Linked DNA regions of Oryza sativa Japonica Group. The protein of the gene in region 2 interacts with the protein of the main gene of each other region in a pairwise test. Links are inferred from orthologs where the notes say so. Each region holds a gene or a part of one and is shown on either strand. Other genes may lie near its edges. The genes, in order: N-alpha-acetyltransferase MAK3 and MADS-box transcription factor 27-like.

Region 1 (4,566 bases), on a different chromosome or scaffold from region 2:
GATGGCGGTGGGCCTTGGGCAAGGCGGCGGCGACGGCGGCGGTGGCGGCAACGGTCTCCCAGCCTTGGGCGTCTGGATCCGTCACCGGCGACCGCGGGGACAACGGCGATGGGCCTCGGGCAGGCCGGCAGCGGTGGTGGCGGCTGGATTAGGGTTCCAAGACGGCTTTTGATTTTCACGTGTGGGTGCTTCACTTGCACGAAAAAATCGGATTTTCACAGATACTTCGTTCCAGACAGGCGAAAGATCCGCACGCGAAAACCGCTTTTGACCGCATGGAAAAATCATTATTGTACTAGTGTGCGTACGAAGCAAACTGGGATTGAAAATGTGATGCCATGAATGCAATTTAAATTGAAACGATTTAGGATGATACTTTTTTTAATAAGTATTCAAAGACGAAACCAATTTGATTCAGTATGAGTGGTACTTGGTCTTTCATTTGTAATAATCAACTATATATACTAATTCCCAAAAATTTTAGTCTAAACTTTGTGGAGTTGACACCTCCAAGACCATTCTTATGGGTAAAAAAGATAAGATGTGTTACGAAGATAAAGGTTTTCATGTGGCTCATATTCTGTAATAGGCTAAATACGAGAAATATGCTTGATAGAAAATATTATCCTTAAGAAGATGCGACCTTTTATGAGTGATTTGCTTTAGTACAGAAAAAGAAACTCCCATACAACTTTTTCTTTTCTTGTCCTTGCAGCAGAAATTGTTGGGAGAGAATTGGTACAAAAATGAATGATAACCTAGAACTCTTTCACATGTTGGTCTTGGCAAGAATTAGATTCATAAGAAAGGAAAAATGTTTATTGCAGGCATATCTGAAAATAAAGAAATAGGAAGATCTTTGAGAATATTACTCATGGAATGGAAGTCTTTCTTTGTCCAAGATGAATGACTCTCTTAGCTCCCTGAATTCTTCTTGGTTACAATGGTTATAATTTTATTTCTTTTATTCTTTTCTTGTTTGTACATAACTTTTTTTAATATATATAACAAATAGGCAAGGTCTGGTAGTTATTTTTTTTAATAAAAAGGAAAGTGAAAAGGAAAGGTAAGAGAATGGACAATAGTGTGACGTCAGCATTTGAGAGAAAATGCCACATACAAATTTTTGATGCGGAGGAAAGAAAAGTAGGATATAGGAGGATGTCGTCATATATAATAACTAGAGAATACCCCGCGTGTTCTCCGGGATTCCGAGTCTTAATGCAAGTTGCTGTGGAATTCCACTATAAATAGTCTCCCTTTGTCCCATATTTCTTGTCTTCCAGATTTAGGGCTTCACACTGACACCATAATTTACAATGGTAAATCGATAATTTTGTGGTTGCATTTAGTTTAGTACCAAATATTGATAATGTTTATGGAAATTGGTGACATCACATTTATTCCATCATATCAAAACTTAAACAATTTTATCAACTTACCAAAAATTTTGATTTGACTAAATTTTAAAAAGGTTTATTTTGGTAGTAATAATCTTAAACATGTCCTCGCTAAAGATTGGGGGAGACGTGGAGTACATAGGAGTATGTTCCAGTCTTTAGGTGTGATTGCTTTAAGATTGGTGACGCCACGTGTCAAGATTGTAGAACGGGCGTGGGGTTCAAGTGCCTCTCCCCAACAGGAGTACCTCGTCGGCGACCTGCGGCGGCGGCGATGTCGGCGGCGGCGGCGGAGGCCACCGAGCGGGGCGAGCCCTCGGGCGGAGGCGGAGAGATCGCGTACGTCAGCTACGGCGGGGAGCACCACCTCCCGCTGGTGATGTCGCTGGTGGACGAGGAGCTCAGCGAGCCCTACTCCATCTTCACCTACCGCTACTTCGTCTACCTCTGGCCCCAGCTCACCTTCCTCGTACGCCCTCTCCTCCCCTCACCTCGCGCGCGTGTTTCACAAGAGTTCGTGAGGATTTGATGCGTTCTTGGTTGATTTGATTTGGGGGACAACCCCTCAAAAGGCGTTCGATCCCAAGGATGGCAAGTGCGTGGGGACGGTGGTGTGCAAGATGGGGGAGCACAGGGGGGCCTTCAGGGGGTACATCGCCATGCTCGTCGTGCTCAAGCCCTACCGCGGCAGGGGAATCGGTGAGCCCTCCTTCGATTCTCCAAGAAGAGTTTCTCTGTTTGTTTGATTGGTTGATTGACTGGTTTGTTTCAAAAGGGAGCATATTCTTCCCTTTGATAGTATCTGCACAAGTCTGTCCTGAAAGGAAGCGTAGACCACTCATGAATCTAAATAAGAACTTAAGAATCCTGCTGATTGGGAGGAAAGCAAAGGGTTTTTCAGTTTTTGTTCCAATTCGATCTGAAATGGCTGGCACCTGGTGGAGTGGTGGGCGATTTAGTACGGATTTACAATCTTCCATCGATTTCGATATGATATCCATATGTACTAAATAGGTGTTTTTCCCTTGTTATGCTTGCACAAACTTAATTGAGTATCACTTTTACATGTGTCAAGAAATTACTAGCTATAGGTCTTATAAGTCTAATTTGTTTCATGATCCTTTCACACTACCATTTACTTGTTTTTTCTCTGTAATAGTTGCTTTGTGTTGATATGGTATTATTTTTGTCTTAACATCAGCAAGTGAAATATGTCTGTGTAGCAGAGTGGAACGAAAACTAGCTTACTAAGTGTTACTGGTTTTCTAAAAACGATGCCATGTTAAGTATTTAGTAGGATTTCTTTGTTCTTTGCCTGCTTGATTTGCAGAAAGGAAAGGCATTTTTTTATTTCTTTTATGGGTACAATAGCCTTCTATTGTTCCCTTCTCTTAAACTATATAATCTTCTCTCATCAGTTTCAATTGAGATTTGTGCTATTATTTTGATAAAATGTTAGTTAACTTTGTTTAGGTGGTTTTCTAGTTTTGTGTAGGAGTAGGTATTGTGTTATGAACCAATATTCCCATGTTTAGTTTTCCCTGTGACAGATGTCTCGTGTTGGGTGCTTCAGCGATTCAGTCTGTGGCACATGAGAGCATTTTGGTCGATTAGTTCTTTATGGTTGGAGCCATTTAGCACTTCATCTGATGTTGTAGTATGCAGCCTAACCTTATCGTTACATCAACTTCTTGCATGAGATGATTTCTTCTTAGTGTCATACACTTGGAAGCGTGCTGACTATAATTGATGTAGCAATAAATAGGTGTGGTGCGACTTGCTAATGCATATATCCTGTGTGGGGAGTACATTTTTCATAATACTTTTATCATGAAATGCACACTGATATTTACATATATCTTGGTACAATGGTACAGATAGTCTGTTTATCTGAAAAACATTGCCTTTGTTGTTTCTGTAATGACATTCGCAGCAAGGATCTTGACAGCTTTAATTGTTGAATCCTGCCTGACATGAATGACCTTTCTCGATGTATGAATAGAGTATATGGTAGCTTTGTCATCTGTTAAGAGTATTGCGAAAGCTCCAGCTTCAGTTCGAATAGCTTTCCTGAAGTATACAAGTGCTTTGCTTTTGCAAATGGTCCCCATTTGTCTTTTTTAATTTTATCTGTAATAAGCAATTAAATGGACACTATGTTGGCCTTTATCAGCTAACCCTCTGTTTCTTCATGGTACAGCCACCGAATTGGTTACGAGATCTATTCGGGTAATGATGGAATCTGGCTGTGAGGAGGTAATCACCACTGTGTTGTTATCTTCTCACCCGATGAAAAACTTATTATTATCCTATTGTCGTTTTGGTACCCATCACTTGACTTTCTTGGTGTAAAATTGCTTCATTGATTATTCAATTATGCCCTAGACTAATCTGCAATTTCCATAATAACAATAATATCTTTCGTGAAATTAGTACAAAAATTGAATTATTTGATATCTGACTCACTCTCCAACCAGGTGACACTTGAAGCAGAAGTTACGAACAAGGGCGCCCTCGCCTTATATGGTCGTTTGGGTTTCATCCGAGCAAAGAGGCTGTACAGATACTATCTGAATGGCGTCGACGCATTTCGCCTGAAGCTGCTATTTCCTCGCCCTGATCCTGGTATGCATCCAATGATGATGCTAGGCAATGAGAGAGATGACCAGCACATGGATTCTCCTTACTTGTGATACCATTCTGGTCGATTGATAGGATGAGTTAGGATCCAAGGCATTTTGCTCTTTTATGTCAGTTTGATGATGCTTTTGTAGCTTTGCTGTAACTCTTGTAACATTGATGTGTTCAAAGATAGTATCTTATTTGACATGGCATTATGTTTCTTTCAATCCATGTTAGACGGTTGAAAAAGAATGCCTTATTACATACTCCCTCCGTTTCTAAATATTTTACATCATTGACTTTTTAGCATATGTTTGACCATTCGTCTTATTTAAAAACTTTTGTGAAATATGTAAAACTATATGTATACATAAAAGTATATTTAACAATGAATCAAATGATAGGAAAAGAATTAATAATTACTTAAATTTTTTGAATAAGACGAACGGTCAAACATATTTAAAAAAATCAACGGCGTCAAATATTTAGAAACGGAGGGAGTATATTTCATTACTTGGCACTAGGAAGAAGAGTAGTTGGGGTA
Region 2 (3,246 bases):
AGTGTAGGTAAACAGGAAAAAAATAAACAAAAAATAAGAACTAGATTATGGCAAAAAGAGCAACAAACTATCCATCTGTTACAAGTATTAACTAATATTTTAGAAATTTAAAATTTCAATGTTAGCCACCTAGTGATGTAAATAATACAAATGATTAGTACATATTACTCGGTATTCTAAAAGGAAAAGGAAATAGATGGTGTTGTGTGCCTACAAGGCTAGAGTAAAGACCTTATCGCTCTTGCTAAACATACATACGTGCAAGCACAGTGCCTAGCTAATCCATCAGCAGAATAGAAGGGTGGAGGGGGTGGGAAGAGGCCAGGCCCCTCCGCCCCCTGGCGTCGCTCTTGCTGATACTTTTCTTGTTCTGGTACATCTGCACAGATAAATTATAATGCCTTTTCATCTCTTCTGTCTGCTTATGGCTTTTTAAGATAAAACAGAGCATTGATCTTGCATGCTCTACACTTCGCGCACTGTTTGTTTTTGCCAATAAGTTTGCACACATGTAGCTGTCATTTGGGTAAACAAACTTGCAGATAGTGCCAAATAGTCATAAGAAAATAATTTTCATGGGCTCTTCAGATAATACATTTTTATTCGAATAGATTTTACAGTATCAGATATTAATCATCCAAGCATGCAAACTGTGTCTTGTTATGTGTTAGCTTCTTTATGACCAATACATTTTAAGAGCTCTGAACTGTAGCCCTTAAGAATAGTGAAAATATAGGCAACACTTCCACACCATAAATTGTCATGGATGCAATTGGAGCCTGCAATAATTTCATTAAGTTATAATTGATGTTTCACTAAAGAACTGAGAATGGATAGATGGATCATGTGCAGAAAATCTGAGTTACCCTAGTTTAGGAGGTGTGGTTTGCTCAGCATCATTTTGTTGGCTTGGGGGATTGAGTTCAAGACGAGCAGGAGTGTTGGCTTCCTCGATAACCGCAAAGTTGTATGGAGTTGTTGAATCTCGATTCGCTTCATTTTCTGCCCCTGTCTCATAGAGCTGAGGAGAGAGATTAGCTGTCATCATATAATGAAGCGTATATCCTGTGAAATCATCTATCTGCATTTATCAAGTACCTTCTTGTACAGCTCAGCATTTTCTTGGCGAATCAGGTTGACCTTTCTGTACAGTTCCATGTTTTCTTGGTGGATGAGACTTCCCTGCAAATAAGCCAGCAATAGAGTTAGCTTACTAGCTGATTCAAAGATTTAGCAATTGTACATGATGTTGTAGAACCTTTCGATTCAGTTCGTGGATTTCATCAATCATGAGCTGGTCCTGAAAACAACAATATTGATCTTAAGTTAATCCATTATATAATCAATCAGGTGCCCAACAAAAAAATATGGTTAGTAGGTTGACCTTTTTTGTCCGGATGCAGCGTATGCTCATTTCTAGCTGATTTTCTAGAGTTTGCAGTTCCTTGACACCCAATCCAGAAAGATCTTGCCCCATCAACTGCCTGCCATCAACCAATGGATGTTATAGTGTTGTTCTGATGATATACAGAGTGAATATTGACACTTAATTTTAGCTGATCAACAGACAGCTGTTAATTGATAATAAAAATAATTTGTACCTTTCTAGTTTAGGTATTGTAAATTAGGCCTGAAGGACAAAATGGAGTGTTTGAACAATAATTTACCAGGCAGAAAGCACAGGTGAAGAAAATGTGATATTCACTCTCCTTTGTAAATTTGGTCTGTCCGCCTTTGATGGGTGCTCAGTTCTGTTTTTCTTTTAGAGATAACCGGAAATGCATAAAAATCGAATGGCTGAAGGTATATATTTCTTACTTTTAAATGATATAGAAAATTCACGTGCCTTCTTCATTTCTTTTGTTTGTGAAGGTTAAACAATGCATTATCTATAGGAAATTTGGAATCAGCATATATCACTTTCATACTCTGTTTTTTCTTCTTTTTTCTAAGTATCATATACCCAAGCACTAGGTGCTTGTTTTTATGATCTGGTACTAGTTTATATTTACTATACAATCAGGTGCTGGAAGTATTATTGTCGCTAGCAGTTGCTGGATTCATGAGCAAGTCCCCACAAAAAAAAAAAGTTCATCATCAAGGGTTCATGATGCATGTATTTCATAGTAGTAGATATATGATGGTTTATGTTTTTCTATCTTGAGGAATTTTCTGATGGAACATTGAAAAACTTGCAGGGTTTTATGGCCATACCGATGATTTTCTTGCAAGCTGTGCAGTTGTTGTCTCAAGCTTGCTGCCTCCCTTTGCCAGAACTATTGGATATGAAAACAGAGTCAAGAAATGCAGAATCCAGGTTTGCCAAAAGCAGCAATATAAATATGTTGTGTATACCCATAGAAACATGCTGGGTTATCAACTCACTAGTTTTTTTTTAAAAAAAAGGAAACTCAATTACATTAGACAAGAAGACTATTTGAACTGAGGAAGTTATTGTGTATGGTAAAAGAAGTAACAAGAGGCAAACAAAGAAATTTGTTGTAAACAAATAAGGGAAGTAGTATTATCTTTCCAGTTTGAAGACAGTTTTTTTTTCCAGATAAGACGATGAGCTACCAACTCTATTGAATTTGGTACTCCATTATCAGTCCTCGTTTTGCGGGGTGTTACCCCCTATTGTAAAAAGCTTGTTTGTCTAAGCAAAATGCTTCCAAGTCCCACCAAAGCTAGATTAACTACAAAGTATCTGCAGAGTGCACAAGTCAGGTAAAAAACTTGTTTGTCTAAGCAAAATGCTTCCAAGTCCCACCAAGCTAGATTAACTACAAAGTATCTGCAGAGTGCACAAGTCAGATAAAAAACTTGTTTGTCTAAACAAAATGCTCCCAAGTCCCACCAAGCTAGATTAACTACAAAGTATCTGCAGAGTGCACAAGTCAGGTAAGTGATGATTATATCATCCTGGTACAAGCTTTATTGCGGTGAAAGATAAGCAGTTAGTCTGAAATCTGTACAGATCTGTCAGCTGTTACCGAAGCAAAAGGTTCAATGTGAACTTAAAGATGCAGTACTGATCCTTTTAAGAGGATTTAACACAGATTTAACAGGTACGTGCCCCTTGTGATTCTTTGTTAGTTTTCTTGTTATAATGATGTTTTTATCCTCTGAATTCAAGCAGGGTGTTCTGTATGCGAGCTGTGATGGGATGGTTCTCTTCAGAAGCATTTTATTTTAACTAAATTCAGAAGCATTTCGATGGCATGAGGACTGTTCGATTGACAATTT

What was found.
Region 1: the proteins of MADS-box transcription factor 27-like (region 2) and N-alpha-acetyltransferase MAK3 interact in binary tests that used the Arabidopsis thaliana proteins (3 or more experiments, as listed by UniProt). The link is inferred for Oryza sativa Japonica Group from reciprocal best matches to the Arabidopsis thaliana genes AGL21 and ATMAK3.

Annotation. Positions count from the first base shown.
Region 1 is NC_089045.1:21,021,524-21,026,089, reverse strand, and holds N-alpha-acetyltransferase MAK3, read left to right. Parts: upstream 1-1,603; 5' UTR 1,604-1,674; coding exon 1,675-1,869; intron 1,870-1,972; coding exon 1,973-2,099; intron 2,100-3,600; coding exon 3,601-3,656; intron 3,657-3,877; coding exon 3,878-4,093; 3' UTR 4,094-4,249; downstream 4,250-4,566. UniProt on the Arabidopsis thaliana protein: Probably required for N-acetylation of some chloroplast precursor proteins and efficient accumulation of thylakoid multiprotein complexes.
Region 2 is NC_089038.1:23,540,125-23,543,370, reverse strand, and holds the end of MADS-box transcription factor 27-like, read right to left. Parts: exon of another isoform or gene 3,140-3,246; intron 3,069-3,139; exon of another isoform or gene 2,978-3,068; intron 2,902-2,977; exon of another isoform or gene 2,277-2,901; coding exon 2,215-2,276; exon of another isoform or gene 2,199-2,214; intron 1,760-2,198; coding exon of another isoform or gene 1,702-1,759; exon of another isoform or gene 1,553-1,701; intron 1,485-1,552; coding exon 1,385-1,484; intron 1,301-1,384; coding exon 1,259-1,300; intron 1,183-1,258; coding exon 1,099-1,182; intron 1,022-1,098; coding exon 867-1,021; intron 780-866; coding exon 761-779; 3' UTR 554-760; downstream 1-553. UniProt on the Arabidopsis thaliana protein: Probable transcription factor.